Linked DNA regions of Oryctolagus cuniculus. Each later gene encodes a partner of the first gene's protein in a complex. Links are inferred from orthologs where the notes say so. Each region holds a gene or a part of one and is shown on either strand. Other genes may lie near its edges.

Region 1 (7,090 bases):
CCTGAGCCGCCCTCCGGGTAGGAAGCGGCCGAGCGGTCCCAGCCCGCAGCCTGCGCGGCTCGGGCCACGCCTCCCCCGCCCAGCACGCCCCCGCGCCGCCTGCGCTTTCGAGGGGCCCGCCGGGCTGCGCTGCGTGGAGCCGGAGGCACCGCCACCGCCGGGGACAGGGCTAGGCAGACACGCGCAGCACGAGTCCGCGGGGCACCCGGGTCCGCATCTGCCGAGCGCGGCCCGCGGGCCGCGAGTACGTGAGGGGGCGGGGCTTCGGGCTCCGCGGGAGGAGGGGACGGGCCCGGGAAGGAGGCGGGGTCTGGAGCTCGGCGCTCGGAAGGAGGCGGAGCCTCGCTTCGGGTTCCCTCGGTCCGCGTCGGAGGTTTGAGCTCACCGCTTCGAGGTGGGGCCACAAGCTTCAGCTTACTTCGGCGGCAGCCGAGTGCGCCAATCGCTGTTCGGATGTGGGCGGGGTCACGAGCTTCGGCTTACTTCGGAGGTAGCCGAGTGCGCTAATCGGGGTTCGGATGTTGGCGGGGTCCCCAGCTCGGCCGGATGTGGGCGGGGCCACGAGCTTCGGCTCCCTTCGGAGGTAGTCGGGTGCAAGTGCCCCGCGTTTGCGACTGAGCGTCCAACCTCGTTTTCACGGGGGGCGGGGAGAAAGCGACCCCCGAGGGGGCGGCGCTCTGAGGGCCGCGTGCGCCGGGGGCAGGAACGGGGTAGAACCGGGGAGCCGGAGGGCTGCGGCTGGGCGGGGCCGAGGGGTCCGGGGGCGGGGCGGTCCCAGCCTCCCGCCTCGCTGAGGTGGCGGAATGACGAGTCTGACGCGGGGGGTCGCCATGGGTGGGCGGAGGAAGCCGCGCGAGGCGCGCTGCGTAGGGGGCGGCTCCACCTCGGTCGGGACTTGGTGTTTACCAGGAGACCAGCTGCTTTTACCGGAGGACGGCGGGACACTCTGAGGGGAAGCAAGGACGCGGACGGACAGCTCGCAAGTGAGCTGACCCCGCCCGCGCGAGGGACGGCGGGTGCGCGGGGGCGGGGCCTCTGGCTTAGGGGTTCGGTCGTGGGGCGGGCACTCCCCGACCCGGCAGCCTGGCGGGGGGCGGGCCCAGGCTGCAGGATTGACAGGTCCCGAGAACTCCCGAACGCTGAGCGCCCTGCGCTCGGGAGGGGGCGGGGCTTCGAGCACGGAGAGCCGAACCCCGGCGGCTCCAGGGGAGTGGCCGAGCTCGGGCTTCCGGGAGGGGGCGTGGCCTCGGCGGCGCTCTGACGGGCAGGAGGCGGTGCCAAAGGTGGCCGCCCCGGAGGGGGCGTGGCGCCGCGCCTGCGTCGGTTTCTGTCTGAGGCGCGAAGGCACGGCGGCGGGTCCTGCGGTGGCGGCGCCGAGCGAGGCGCCGACCGCCGGGTGCGGAGGCTGTGCCGCGGCCAGGGCGAGGTCCCGCCCCTCCGAGGCCCGCGGGCGGCTCCGGGGCCGGGGCGGGGCTCCGGCGCGACCCCCGGGCGGCCGGCGGCGCCGCGCGGTTTGAGTGACCGCCTCGCCTTCGGCTCCCGCAGGAGGATGCTGGTGGTGGAGGTGGCGAACGGGCGCTCCCTGGTGTGGGGGGCCGAGGCGGTGCAGGCGCTGCGCGAGCGCCTGGGCGTGGGGGGCCGCACGGTGGGCGCCCTGCCCCGCGGGCCCCGCCAGAACTCGCGCCTGGGCCTCCCGCTGCTGCTGATGCCCGAAGAGGCGCGGCTGCTGGCCGAGATCGGCGCCGTGACCCTGGTCAGCGCCCCGCGCCCGGATCCGCGCCAGCACGGCCTGGTAAGGGGTCTGAGCCCGGGACCTCGGGGTCGGGCTGCACGCTGGGCGCGGGGCTGCAGCTGAGTCCGCCCCGCAGGCTCTGGCATCCTTCAAGCGCCAACAAGAGCAGAGCTTCCAGGAGCAGAGCGCCTTGGCCGTGGAGGCCCGGGAGGCCCGGCGTCAGGAGCTGCTGGAGAAGATCGCGGAGGGCCAGGCCGCCAAGAAGCAGAAGCTGGAGCAGGAGGCGGGGGCCGGCGGGGCGCGGGAGGCGGCCGCAGGGCAGGCCCAGGAGGGCCAGGCTTCCGGGGAGCAGGAGGAGGCAGGTGAGCGCGGGCCTGACCCCGGGGAGTGCAGCGTGGGGGCCGGCGACCGAGCCTAACCTCACCCCCCTGCCCCAGCCCCCTCGTCTTCCCAGCCAGGGCCTTCCGGTGGGGCGGCCCCCTTGCCCAGGTCCGCTCTGCTCGTCCAGCTGGCCACCGCCAGGCCGCGACCGGTCAAGGCCAGGCCGCTGGACTGGCGCGTGCAGTCCGAGGACTGGCCGCACGCCGGCCGGCCTGCCCACGAGCTGCGCTACAGCATCTACAGGGACCTGTGGGAGCGCGGCTTCTTCCTCAGCGCCGCGGGCAAGTTCGGCGGCGACTTCCTGGTCTACCCAGGTGAGTCTGGGCTGGGCCCCGGCCGCTGCACCGGGTCCCGGCGTAGTCGGCCTTTTTCCTTTTTTTTTTTTTTTTTGGTTTCTTCTAAAGACAGAGCAATAGAGGGGTCATGCATCCATTGGTTCATTCCCCGCATGGCTGCAAGTGCCAGGGCTGGGCCGGGCCAGGAACTCCATGGGGTACCCGGGCCTCCCACGTGGGTGGCAGGGATCCAGGGACTGGGCCATCTTCCACTGCCTCCCCAGGCGCATCAGCAGGGAGCTGGGTCCGAACAGAGTAGCCGGGACTGCAACCGGGACGCTGGGATTTCTGTTTGCCTCACATTTTTCCGACTTTTGAAACTCTTGGAAGGACAGGAACCACTGGGGAGCCCCCAAGTTCACTTAGGAGGTGGTTTGGTAGCTTTCATGAGATGTTTCCTGTGACCCCCAAGGCTCACTTGGAAATCTGTAGACAGCTGCACAGGAGTGCCCCCTGCAGGATCATCCGCAGCATTTAGAGATCGGGAGACACAGGGCCAGCAACGCGGCCTCGTGGGTAAAGCCACCGCCTGTGGTGCCGGCCTCCCATGTGGGTGCTGGTTCGAGTCCCGGCTGCTCCACTTCCGATCCAGCTCCCTGCTAATGCACCTGGGAAAGCAGGGGAAGATGGCCAAGTGCTTGAGCCCCTGCACCCACGTGGGAGACCTGGAGGAAGCTCCTAGGTTCTGGCTTTGGCCTGGCCCAGCCACTTGGGGAGTGAACCAGAGGATGAAACACCTCTCTGTCTCTCCCTCTCTGTAAATCTTTCAAATAAATGACTATATCTTTAGAAAAGTTGGAAAACAGCCAAAGAGATTATTACTAAGTTAGCAGTCAGAAAACAAAGCAATAGCTGTCAGAGGTTGATGTAGGCACCGGCACCGGGAGCCGAGCGGCAGAGACGCGCCCACCAGGGGCTCTGCCGACAGTGCCAGCGCGGTGCCGTCCCGGGGCTGCCCGAAGCCCCGCCTCCAAATACCGGAGCCGGAGCAGGCTCCGCCGCACCCCATCGGTCCACATTAGCCCCGGGGCTTTGGGGTTCTGCGTGAGTTTGGGGGGCCACGTCCTGGTCAGACCACGGCAGCGTCACCGGCGGTTCCCGGGTGGGGCTGGGAGGCCGTCCACTCCACATTTGGTTGTTTGCGTCGGATAGCGACGAGGAAGGATAAGAGCGATCGCCCCCCTGTGCAAGTACGGCAGCCGGGGCCGTGTCGCTGCCCGGCGCCTACCTGCCTCTCTCCCTCAGGCGACCCGCTCCGTTTCCACGCGCACTACATCGCCCAGTGCTGGGCCCCCGACGACCCCATCCCCCTGCAGGACCTGGTCTCTGCCGGCCGCCTGGGCACCAGCGTGAGGAAGACCGTGCTGCTCTGCTCCCCACAGCCCGGCGGCAAGGTGGTCTACACCTCCCTGCAGTGGGCCGGCCTGCAGTGAGCGCCCTGGCCCGTCGGACTCTGCATCCTTCCGGCTCCCCGCCGCGAGCTCTCAGTGGCTGTGCTGGTGTCGTTGTGACCGGTTCCCAAACTGTGGGCTTCTGGGACCCGGCGTGTTCATCTGTTCCTGCAGGGCCTCGGTCCCAGGAGGCCTCAATAAACTTGTGGACTCACCCTGAGTTTGTGGCTGCAGTCCTGGGAGGTGACATGTGGGTGCTCCCATCCGCGGGGACAGCTGTGGAGACGGCGTGGGGAGGCCGGGCGCCCTGCCCCGGTCCCCTTGCGCCGCAGAGGTTGTACAGAGAACACTGTGCAGCCGCTGCGAGTTCAGGGCTCAGAATTTGGGGGCGTCAGTGGGGGCTTCTAGAATGTTTCCGTGTCCTGGGTGGTGCTTCAGAATTGTTTTGATGTTGTTTACTTACACGTGTATTTAAATGTTTATCTCCTTTCTATCTGAGAGAGACATCTCCCATCCACTGGTTCACTCCCCAGACGCCCACAACGGCCAAGGCCAGGCCAGGCCAAAGCCAGGAGCAGGCAACTCCGTCTGGGTCTCCCATTGGAGTGGCAGGGACCTGTGCAGCTGGGCCGTCACCTGCTGCCTCCCAGGGAGCTGGGGTCAGAAGTGTGGCCAGGACTCACACCCAGTGCTCCAGCAGGGGCCGCGGCATTCTGTCACACCACACACTCTATATTTATACTTCAGGTTTATTAAACATGTTCTGGTCTACAATTTTTAGACATGTTATAGTGTACAATTTTGATAAAAACTAAAACAAGTATGTGAGGTATTTCAAAGCTTTGTGGGGGGCTGGTGCTGTGGCACAGTGGGTTAAAGCCCTGGCCTGAAGCACCGGCATCCCATATGGGTGCCGGTTCGAGACCCGGCTGCTCCACTTCTGATCCAGCTCTCTGCTGTGGCCTGGGAAAGCAGTAGAAGATGGCCCAAGTGCTTGGGCCCTGCACCCACGTGGGAGACCCGGAAGAAGCTCCTGACTCCTGGCTTCGGATCGGCACAGCTCCGGCCGTTGTGGCCATCTGGGGAGTGAACCAACAGATGGAGACCTCTTTCTCTCTCTCTCTCTACCTCTCTCTGTAACTCTCTTTCAAATAAATAAAATCTTTAAAAAAAGCTTAGTGGAAGAATGGAATTGAAAGCTAAGTTCATTTTGGTACAAAGTAATTCTGAAATCCATGCTTGATTTATCCTAATGGACACTTTCTGAAGACGACTCGTTTACCATAAAGGCTCACGGGTTTTCGGTCCACAGTTAATGGGTGTTTGGTAGAATGTAGGGTAGGACTGTGCAACCGCCACCACAGTCCAGCTTTATTATAATTATTTTAATGTATTTGAAAGGCACAGAGAGAAGAGAGGTCCTCCATCCGCTGGTTCACTCCCCAGATGGCCACAAGGGCTGGGACTGGGCCAGGCTGCAGCCAGGAGCCTGGAGCTTCCTCCAGGTCTCCCTCATGGGCGCAGGGGCCCAGCACTGGGGTCATCTTCTGCCGCTTTCCCAGGTGGGTTAGCAGGGAGCTGGACAGGAAGTGGAGCGGCCGGGACTTGAACTGGTGCCCATATGGTATGCCGGCATCACAGGTGGCGGCTTAACCCGCTGTGCCACGGCGCCCGCCCCACGGTCAACCTCGGCCCGTTTCTGCCCTGCCTGCTTGCTGCCGCCCCTGTCCCCATGCCCGGCCGGCACGGAGCCGCCTGCTTTCTCTCTGGGGAGAGTCTGCCTGATGCAGGAGTCCCAGGGTGCCCTGTACTGCACTGGGGGCTTATCCGGTGCCCAGCTGGTTCCAGCGAGCTGTCCCGGTGAAGGACGAGGCCTTGTCCACGCAGGGTCCCTAGTTCCAGGAACGGAGGTTCCGGCGCCTCAGTGCTCAGGTGCCAGGTCGCTGAGCGAGCGGGTCCTTTAAGCTAGGACTGACTCAGGCTGAGGGGGAGAATTTGGAACTCTTCTTTTTCCAGACCACTCACTAAGCATGTTTTAAACAATGCAAGGCGACTTTCAAAAAGTTTGTGGAAAAACGGGAATTAAAAGGTGAATTTTATTTTCTTACCAAAAATGAGGTCACACCGGCCCTTGCTCTGCCTTTTGAAGAAACAAGCTTTTTTTTTTTTTTAAATAAACATTTTTTAGAAGTGACAGTGACAGCTATCAAGTTTCCCCAGATCCGTGGTAACAGAGCACAGAGCAGGTCAGGCAGAGGAGCAAACCTGCCAGGGCCCTGGTCTCCCCCTCACTGAGCTCTGCCCCTCGTGCAGGTGACGCCAGGGCTGAAGGAAACTCAGTACAGTGGCGGTGACGGCCGGCAGCGAGCCCTCCGCAGGCTCCCGGTTAGTCCCGAGCTGGACCTGCCACGCCGGCGCCCCAGCTGCCCGCGGATGCCCGGGCCCTGCCACCCTCGTGGGAGACCCGACGGAGCTCCCGGCTCGCGCTGCAGCCTGCACGGACCGGTGCCTGCAGAGTGAGCCAGTGGATGGAAGACCTCTCTCTCGCTGGCCCCTTCAAATAAATAAAGTCTATTAAAATCAGTTTTGTAAATGCACACCGCGCGTTTAGCCTGGAGCTAAGCATCTTGCCTGTGTAACGGGAGCATTGGACGAGCAGGATTACTCCGGAGAGGACGGGCTGGGATATTCCAGGGCCCGTTTCAGGCCAAGAGAGATGGAGAAACCGTCGGCTCCAGGCGGTGCCCGGGGGTCGGGGCGCATAGACCGGCGCCTGTTCTGGAGCCCTCCCATCCCGGGGAGGCCCCGGCGCCGCCCTCGACATCGGCCGCAGGGCCCAGGCAGGGAGCCCTCACCCACCGCGCTCTCCAAGGCGCCGTGCAGGCCCGCACCCTCCTGGGCATCCCGGGAGGCAGCAGGCCACGGCGCGGGCTCCGCTGCTCACTGGGGGCCAGGAGGGCGCCCTGGGCTCCCGCAGAGGGGGTGGGCTCGGATGGTGCCCTGGGATCCCGCAGAGGGGACACAGACGGCGCCCTGGGCTCCCACGGAGAGACCCGAACGACGCTCTGAGCTCCCACGGAAGGGGGACCCGGAGGGTGCCCTGGGCTCCCACGGGGGGACCCGGACGGCGCCCCGGGCTCCCACGGGGGGGACACGGTGGCGCCCCGGGCTCCCACGGCGGTGACACGGTGGCGCCCTGGGCTCCCACGGGGGGACCCGGACGGCGCCCCGGGCTCCCACGGCGGTGACAC
Region 2 (7,167 bases), on another chromosome or scaffold:
TTCTCCTCCTGTTTTCCATTTGGATGTATGCTAGGTTGTCTGACATTGTACCTTAATGATGCTCTGCTCATTTTTTGAAAGCAGTTTTTGTTGTGCATGTTGGAAATTTCCTGTTTCTCTGCCTTCAAGTTCACTTGATTTTTCCTCAAACCGTGAGATGTTTTTCTTCTGAAATCATAATTTTAAGTTCCAGAATTTCCATTTGACTTTTTTTTTTTTTTTTTGAGAGGCAGAGTGGAGAGTGAGAGAGAGACAGAGGGAAACGTCTTCCTTTTGCCATTGGTTCACCCTCCAATGGCCACCACAGTTGGCGTGCTGCGGCTGGCACGCCGTGCTAATCCAAAGGCAGGAGCCAGGTGCTTCTCCTGGTCTCCCATGGGGTGCAGAGCCCAAGCACTTGGGCCATCCTCCACTGTACTCCCTGGCCGCAGCAGAGAGCTGGCCTGAAAGGGGGGCAACCAGGACAGAATCCGGCGCCCCGACTGGGACTAGAACCCGGTGTGCCAGCGCCGCTAGGCGGAGGATTAGCCTAGTGAGCCGCGGCGCCGGCCTCCATTTGGCTTTTAACATGTTTTTCTTCCTCTCTCCTGAGATGCTCTGGTTGTCTCCTGATGTTTTCATCTGCTCAACACATATTTTCTTACTTCATTGAGAATAGTTATAAGTCACTTTAAAAGCCTTATGTCAGTTTCAACATCAAATTCATCCTAAGGTCTAGCTGTAGCAAAGTGATCAGTTTTCTTGATTTTTTCACATCAGAGAACTTGGACCATACCCCGGTTTTTTGAATTGAGGGAAGTCTGGGTTCAACCACTTTTCTCTGACAAGCATTCTTTGCTTCCTGTTAGTGGGTCATTTCCCAGGCTCCTTGGGGGCAGCTCTGGTCTCAGCTCAGATCTTCATCTGCAGCCATGCTGTGATTCAGGGCGGGAGGTGTGGGGCTGTCCAGTGGGGCTCTCCACCCTCCTCGCTGGGGACCACCTGGTCCCTTCAGCGTCCCTTTCCTGTGTTTCGCACAGGGCACTCAAGGTCCATCAGACGTGTGAGCTGCGGGACATGGGCTCCTGCTCCCTCCAGCGTGCGTTTCTTGTGACTGCGATGGGTGGTGCAGGGTCCATCAGAGGTGCGCGCTCCTGGGTGTGGGACACTTGTTCCCTGTGACTTTCCGTGGGAGGCTCAGGGGTGGCCCTGCTGCTCCCCCCGGCGTCCGTGTCCCGTGATTCCATGTGGGAGGCTCAGGGGTGGCCCTGCTGCTCCCCCCGGCGTCCGTGTCCCGTGACTCTCCGTGGGAGGCTCAGGGGTGGCCCTGCTGCTCCCCCCGGCGTCCGTGTCCCGTGACTCTCCGTGGGAGGCTCAGGGGTGGCCCTGCTGCTCCCCCCGGCGTCCGTGTCCCGTGACTCTCCGTGGGAGGCTCAGGGGTGGCCCTGCTGCTCCCCCCGGCGTCCGTGTCCCGTGACTCCGCGTGGGGAGGCTCAGGGGTGGCCCTGCTGCTCCCCCCGGCGTCCGTGTCCCGTGACTCTCCGTGGGGAGGCTCAGGGGTGGCCCTGCTGCTCCCCCCGGCGTCCGTGTCCCGTGACTCTCCGTGGGGAGGCTCAGGGGTGGCCCTGCTGCTCCCCCCGGCGTCCGTGTCCCGTGACTCTCCGTGGGGAGGCTCAGGGGTGGCCCTGCTGCTCCCCCCGGCGTCCGTGTCCCGTGACTCTCCGTGGGAGGCCCGGGGTTGGCACTCCTTCCCCCAGCGTGTATCCTGCTCCACTTTCCCACGCGCACTCCGGCGGCTCTGGCCCGCGAGCTGGGGCTCTCCTGGGCAGGCGTGCGCCCCCCGTCGTCCCGCTCGCTTCCCGCACCCCTAGGCGGTGGCCCGGCGCACTATGCCCGGGAGTTCTGGCGGCTTCCTGCTGGGCCTCGTGCCCAGGGCCTGCCGAGTCCGGAAGGAGACGTCCCGTCCGGCCTGGGTCCGGCCTGGGCCTCTGGGTTCCGAGCCGCCCGCCCCGCGGCCCCTTCCTCCCAGGCTCCCGCGCTGCACCCCGCAGCGGCGCCGGGCCGGCGACCGCCCTCTCCTCAGGCCGCTTCCCCGCTCCTGGGGACGCGGCCCCTCATCCGCTCCCCGCATCCCCGGACGCGGGCTCTGAGCGCCGCGGCGGCCGCCTCACGCGGGACTCGGCCCGGCTCTGAGGAAACGCGGCGACGCCGGGAGGCGTCTGCGACTTCCGGTCCGGGCGGGCTGCGGGGGCAGCGGAACCCAGGCGCGAGGCCCGTGCTCCCGGCCGGACGCCGATCCGCGTGCACTGGAGGCGGAGCCCGGCGCGCGGCCCCAGCCGCGGGCCGCACGTGCGCAGCCGGGAGGCGGAGCCAGGCGCGCGGGTCGGTGCAGCGCGGCGCGCCATGGCGGAGCGCGGCGGCGACGGCGGCGCTCGCCCGTGGGCCCCCGAGGACGCCTGGATCGGCAGCCACCCCAAGGTGAGGGGCCGGGCGCGGGCTCCTCTCACGCGTGGGCGGAGACGCGGCCGGGAGCCGTGCGGGGTGGCGCGTGGGCGGGGACGCGGCCGGTGAGCCGTGCGGGGTGTCGCGTGGGCGGGGACGCGGCCGGGAGCCATGCGGGGTGTCGCGTGGGCGGGGACGCGGCCGGTGAGCCGTGCGGGGTGTCGCGTGGGCGGGGACGCGGCCGGGAGCCATGCGGGGTGTCGCGTGGGCGGGGACGCGGCCGGGGAGCCGTGCGGGGTGTCGCGTGGGCGGGGACGCGGCCGGGGAGCCGTGCGGGGTGTCGCGTGGGCGGGGACGCGGCCGGGGAGCCGTGCGGGTGGCGATGGGCCCGCGAGGTCGGGAGGGCCGGTTGCCCCGTGTGCCGAGTCCCGCCCCCGCCCCCCGCCCTCGCCCTCGCCCCCTCCCCCGCCCTCGCCCCCTCCCCCTCTCCCCCGCACCCAGGGCGGCGCGGTGTTGGGGGTCTCCCCCTGAGAAACGGGGTGACCACGGCGCGCACCGCGTGGGGCTCCTCCGGCTTAGGTCGGTGGCTGTTGGTCAGGCGTCTGCCGCGGGGAGTGGCCGTGCTGGTCACTCAGCTCGCTCTTTTACGTTTCTTAAGACTGGGGCCGGCGCTGTGGCGCAGCCGGTTAAAGCCCTGGCCTCCCATATGGGCGCCGGTTCGAGTCCCGGCTGCTCTCTGCTGTGGCCTGGGAAAGCAGTGGAGGATGGCCCAGGGGCTTGGGCCCTGCACCCGCGTGGGAGACCGGGAAGAAGCTCCTGGCTTCAGATGGGCACAGCTCTGGCTGTTGCAGCCATTGGAGGAGTGAACCAGCGGATGGAAGACCCCTCTCTCTGTAACTCTGTCTTTAGAGACTTTACCGTTTATTTGGAAGAGTTAGAGAGAGGGAGAGGGAGACCCGACCCTCCACCGTTCACTCCCCGGATGAGTGCAGTGGCTGGGGCTGCAGGATGCCGGCCACTTGGCCGGTGGTCAGTGGCCTGGTGGCCCGTGGTCGTGGCTTCCTGCGGTGTGCACAGAGCCAGCCCCAGGCTCAGCCTCCAGTGCAGGCCGTGATAGACTGAGCGTGGAGGCCGAGTTCCGCAGAGAACTGAGGGACTTAGCGTTTCCTGCCCAGCACTTTTCTCACTGAGTCCGCTCAGTCGGTTGTGAAGAGGCCCGGCCGGGTGCAGTGCGGGTCCGTGTGCAGACCTGCGCTCTGTAGACCTGGACAGCAAGCTTCGGAGCGGACGCACTCTGCAGTCGGGGAGAAATAAACACCAGTGGGTATCTGATTTCCGGCTCTGCCTTTGTGTGGCTCGGTTTGCCAGTGACTTAGGTCCGTCCGTGGAGCGTGGTGGCAGGGCGGCCCCCGCAGGCACCACTCCCCTGCCGTCCGGCTCACAGCCCCTCGGCGCCCCGTCGCGCGGAGGATCCGGACCTCTGGCGTGGCCCCGCCTGCGGTTGCATGGCAGCCCTGATCTGCACCTGTGCGCTGACACCCGTCTTCCCAGCCGCCCTCGCGGAGCTCGCCCTGCGCGAGCCCTGCTCGCCCGGGGACGCGCGGCCTCGGCGTCCCCTCGGAGACGCGTTCCCCCTGCAGCTGGTTTGTCCGCTTCGGTGACACCTCCCGGGCGTGGGGAGGAGGGGGCGTGGCGTTCCGGCAGTGTCTCCCCATGCAGGTGACAGGCCCCCACGAGACCCCGGGACAGCCCACGGCTGCTGCTGCGGGTCTCGGACGCGTGTGGCTCACCCTCACCTTGTCGACTGCTCGCTGTGGCTCTGCGTTGCTTGTTCTAAGGGCAGGGCCTTGGGCCCGTTCTGTCACTCACCGGCCACACCCCGAGGGGAGCTCCGTGTGTGGTCTCATCCCATCGCGGTCACAGGTCGTTTTTGCCCAGTTTGTGTGTTCTGACAGCTGCAGACCCTCCGGAGGCAGATGCCATCCTGCGTCGCCCTCTACCTTCTGTGCAGATAGCACACGTGCAGTGACACGCGCCCACTGGAGGGGCACCCGAGCCTCCCTTCCGCGTCTGACGCCCCCATTTTGATTTCCAGTATTTGGAGATGATGGAGTTGGATGCGGGAGATGCCACGCAAGTGTACGCAGCGTTCTTGGTTTTCCTGGACCTCATGGAGAGTAAGCCGCCCACCTCTGTGTGGACTGGGGCCGTGCTGGGGTCGGGCGCTGGGTTGGGATCTCCGCGCTGACGTTACGGTGAGCAGTCGCTCATGCATTTGCTGCTAGTTTTGTCAAGCAGTTTTGCAGCTTCCTTATCTTTTTACGTTGGGAATTATTGAGTAACAGAAACGCTAGACGAGTAGAGAAGAGGCCGGGGTAAGGGTGACATTGCCACATAGAAGTTCGGAGCCTTTACTTTGGCTTTTGATAAGCGGTCTTGCCCGTTCGACGCGGCTCTTCCAGGTAAAAGTTGGCATGAAGTGAACTGCGTGGGACTGCCAGAGCTGCAGCTCATCTGCCTGGTCGGCACGGAGATAGAAGGGGAGGGCTTGCAGACCATTGTGCCCACGCCCGTCACAGCCTCCCTCAGCCACAACAGGTGAGCGCGGGTTTTGGTCTTGGCTAACCGACAGTTCAGAAGCGAAGCAGCCGGGATTCAAACCCGTGGACAAGAGATGCTGGTGTTGTAGGCTTCGACTTAACCTGCCACACTCTAACATAGATCCCACATTCTTTTTTTATATTATTAACAGTAAATGTTTGTTGGTTGTGTTTTGAGTTTGTGAATCTTTCATTGTCTTATTTATTTGTTTACTTGATCGGCCGTGAGAAGAGACTGGTCTTCCGTCTGCTGGTTCACCCCCAGATGAAGTAGCCAGGGCTGGGGCGGGTGGCAGCCAGGAGCTGGGACTCCCTCTGGGTCTCCCGTGTTTGCGGCCGGGGCCCGACCACTGGGACCATCGTCTGCACATTAGCAGGGAGCTGCATTGCAAGTGGAGCAGCCAGGACTCATGGTTGCCAGTGTTGCAGGCAGCGGCCTGATCTGGCCCAATCTTCTACTGTCTTTAAGGTAGCTTTCAATCAGTGGCGGTACTTAAGTTGAATGTAATCAGATATCTGTCTTCTCGTGGAGTCAGTGTCTTTGTGTCTGGCTTAAGAAATGGTACCTGTCTAGAGACCTGGAAGTGTTCCCTGTATTTCACTAGAGTGTTAAGGTTTGTTCGTGTCTGATGGTGTGGGAGGTGCTCCGGGGGCCACGTTTCTCCCCCATTGGCAGCGCCCCTCTGCTCCCTGTTTGCAGCACGCCGCCTCTGCCCTGACTTGCTCCGCTGGTCAGTTCCTCTGTCCTCCCAGGGGTCGTTGTATCTGATGAGTCAGCGCTGGCAAAAATGAAGAGGTGCTGCTTCCAGAGTTAGGCCCCAGACGGTGGCTTCTCCCCGGCACTTTGCACGTGGAGGGAAGCCGGGTGACTGGGCTGCCGTCCTGAGGCGCAGCTGCAGCGGAGGGGAGAAGGGAGTCCCCGCGGACAAGATTCTCGAGAGACGGGGCGGCCTGCGTTCAGGGGGCGAGTTGAAGAGCCATGGGGGCAGGGAGAGGGGTGCAGGGGGAGAGGTGGGAGCGGGCATACTGCGGAGATGTAGGGGAGAGGGCAGAGCCCTTGAAGTGCCTCTGAGCGCCTCTGTGCTGGCTCGGGGGGCTGCATGCCTGGTGCGGCAGGAGGAGCACTGCTGTGTCCTCTGGGCTGACCAGGGGCTCAGATGATCAGTGCCTGATACGTCAGACCCCCCCCCGCCCCCGCCCCGTCAGCGCTGCCGCCTTGTGCGTGCTCCGCAGTGTTGGGTGAGCTGGTGTCTTCTTGGCTCTGTCCTCGTGGCTCTGACCAGGGGCTCAGATAGATGATCAGTGCGTGATCCGTCAGACCCCCCCACGCCCCCGCCCCGTCAGCGCTGCCGCCTTGTGCGTGCTCCGCAGTGTTGGGTGAGCTGATTCTCGGGTTTCTGGGCAGTGCTGGTGTGTGGTCCGTCGTGAGAAGTGCTCGTTGCTGTCAGGCTGCCCATGCTGCTTCGCACAGACCTGCATCCTCCGAGAAGCGCAGCCGATTGGGTCGGCCTCGGTCGGTATGATTGCTGCACTTCCTGGGTTTTACGAGCCCTCCTGCAGCTGAGAGACTTTGTTCCTCAAAATGCCTGTAACAAGGTCCTGTTACACTGTGTGGAGAAGGAGCTACTATTCACAATTAATTTGAATTCAATCCTAAAACATAAAATCAATGAAGCGAAAGCAGTAGTCTGTTTTTTCCAAAATCATTCCGTAGGTCTCAGAGTACCAATTTGTGTCCACTAATTTTAGTATCTTCTAGCCGATAATTAAGGTTTTCCCAGCTTTGTTGGTTTAGGCTGTTTTCTTCTTTACATAGAAATGGTTGGGATGATAATTCAGGAAGCCACTTTATGCTCTTCGTTTAATAACTCAGAGAGCTTGTCTTTGTGTCATTTTTATATACATATTCATGACTGTATAATACAGCGAAGTAATAACATGGAAAATAGCACAAATAAATCCTGACGCTTGTTATGTGTTTGCTTGCTTCTTAGGTCATCCAGTTTTCCCCTCAGGCTTTCTAACGGGGGTGTGTGTGTGTGTGTGTGTGTGTGATTGATTCCGGTCGCCCAGGCTGGCAGGGGCATTGGCGGTGGCAGGGCACTGTGTCTATTTCCGGTGTGCTGTATGACGCAGGATGTGGCGT

Evidence for each region. The genes of interacting proteins can lie anywhere in the genome.
Region 2: the proteins of TSEN34 (region 1) and TSEN15 are in contact, whole or in part, in a crystal structure (PDB 6Z9U), measured with the Homo sapiens proteins. The link is inferred for Oryctolagus cuniculus from reciprocal best matches to the Homo sapiens genes TSEN34 and TSEN15. Residues at the interface, in NP_001070914.1 of Homo sapiens: Pro251, Leu252, Arg253, Phe254, His255, Ala256, His257, Tyr258, Pro265, Glu266, Asp267, Thr268, Ile269, Pro270, Leu271, Gln272, Leu274, Ser283, Val284, Arg285, Lys286, Thr287, Leu289, Leu290, Cys291, Ser292, Gln294, Val300, Tyr301, Thr302; in NP_443197.1 of Homo sapiens: Leu70, Lys74, Trp76, Thr108, Pro109, Ile110, Thr111, Ala112, Ser113, Leu114, Ser115, His116, Asn117, Ile119, Arg120, Leu123, Leu141, Ile143, Val151, Tyr152, Tyr153, Lys154, Leu155, Thr156, Asp157, Gly158, Phe159, Met160, Leu161, Pro162.

Annotation. Positions count from the first base shown.
Region 1 is NC_091449.1:4,515,357-4,522,446, reverse strand, and holds TSEN34 (tRNA-splicing endonuclease subunit Sen34), read left to right. Parts: upstream 1-1,549; coding exon 1,550-1,792; intron 1,793-1,868; coding exon 1,869-2,094; intron 2,095-2,169; coding exon 2,170-2,427; intron 2,428-3,693; coding exon 3,694-3,881; downstream 3,882-7,090. UniProt on the Homo sapiens protein: Constitutes one of the two catalytic subunit of the tRNA-splicing endonuclease complex, a complex responsible for identification and cleavage of the splice sites in pre-tRNA. It cleaves pre-tRNA at the 5'- and 3'-splice sites to release the intron.
Region 2 is NC_091444.1:1,815,520-1,822,686, forward strand, and holds the start of TSEN15 (tRNA-splicing endonuclease subunit Sen15), read left to right. Parts: upstream 1-2,302; 5' UTR 2,303-2,382; coding exon 2,383-2,457; intron 2,458-2,927; exon of another isoform or gene 2,928-3,741; intron 3,742-4,516; coding exon 4,517-4,598; intron 4,599-4,883; coding exon 4,884-5,019; intron 5,020-7,167. UniProt on the Homo sapiens protein: Non-catalytic subunit of the tRNA-splicing endonuclease complex, a complex responsible for identification and cleavage of the splice sites in pre-tRNA. It cleaves pre-tRNA at the 5' and 3' splice sites to release the intron.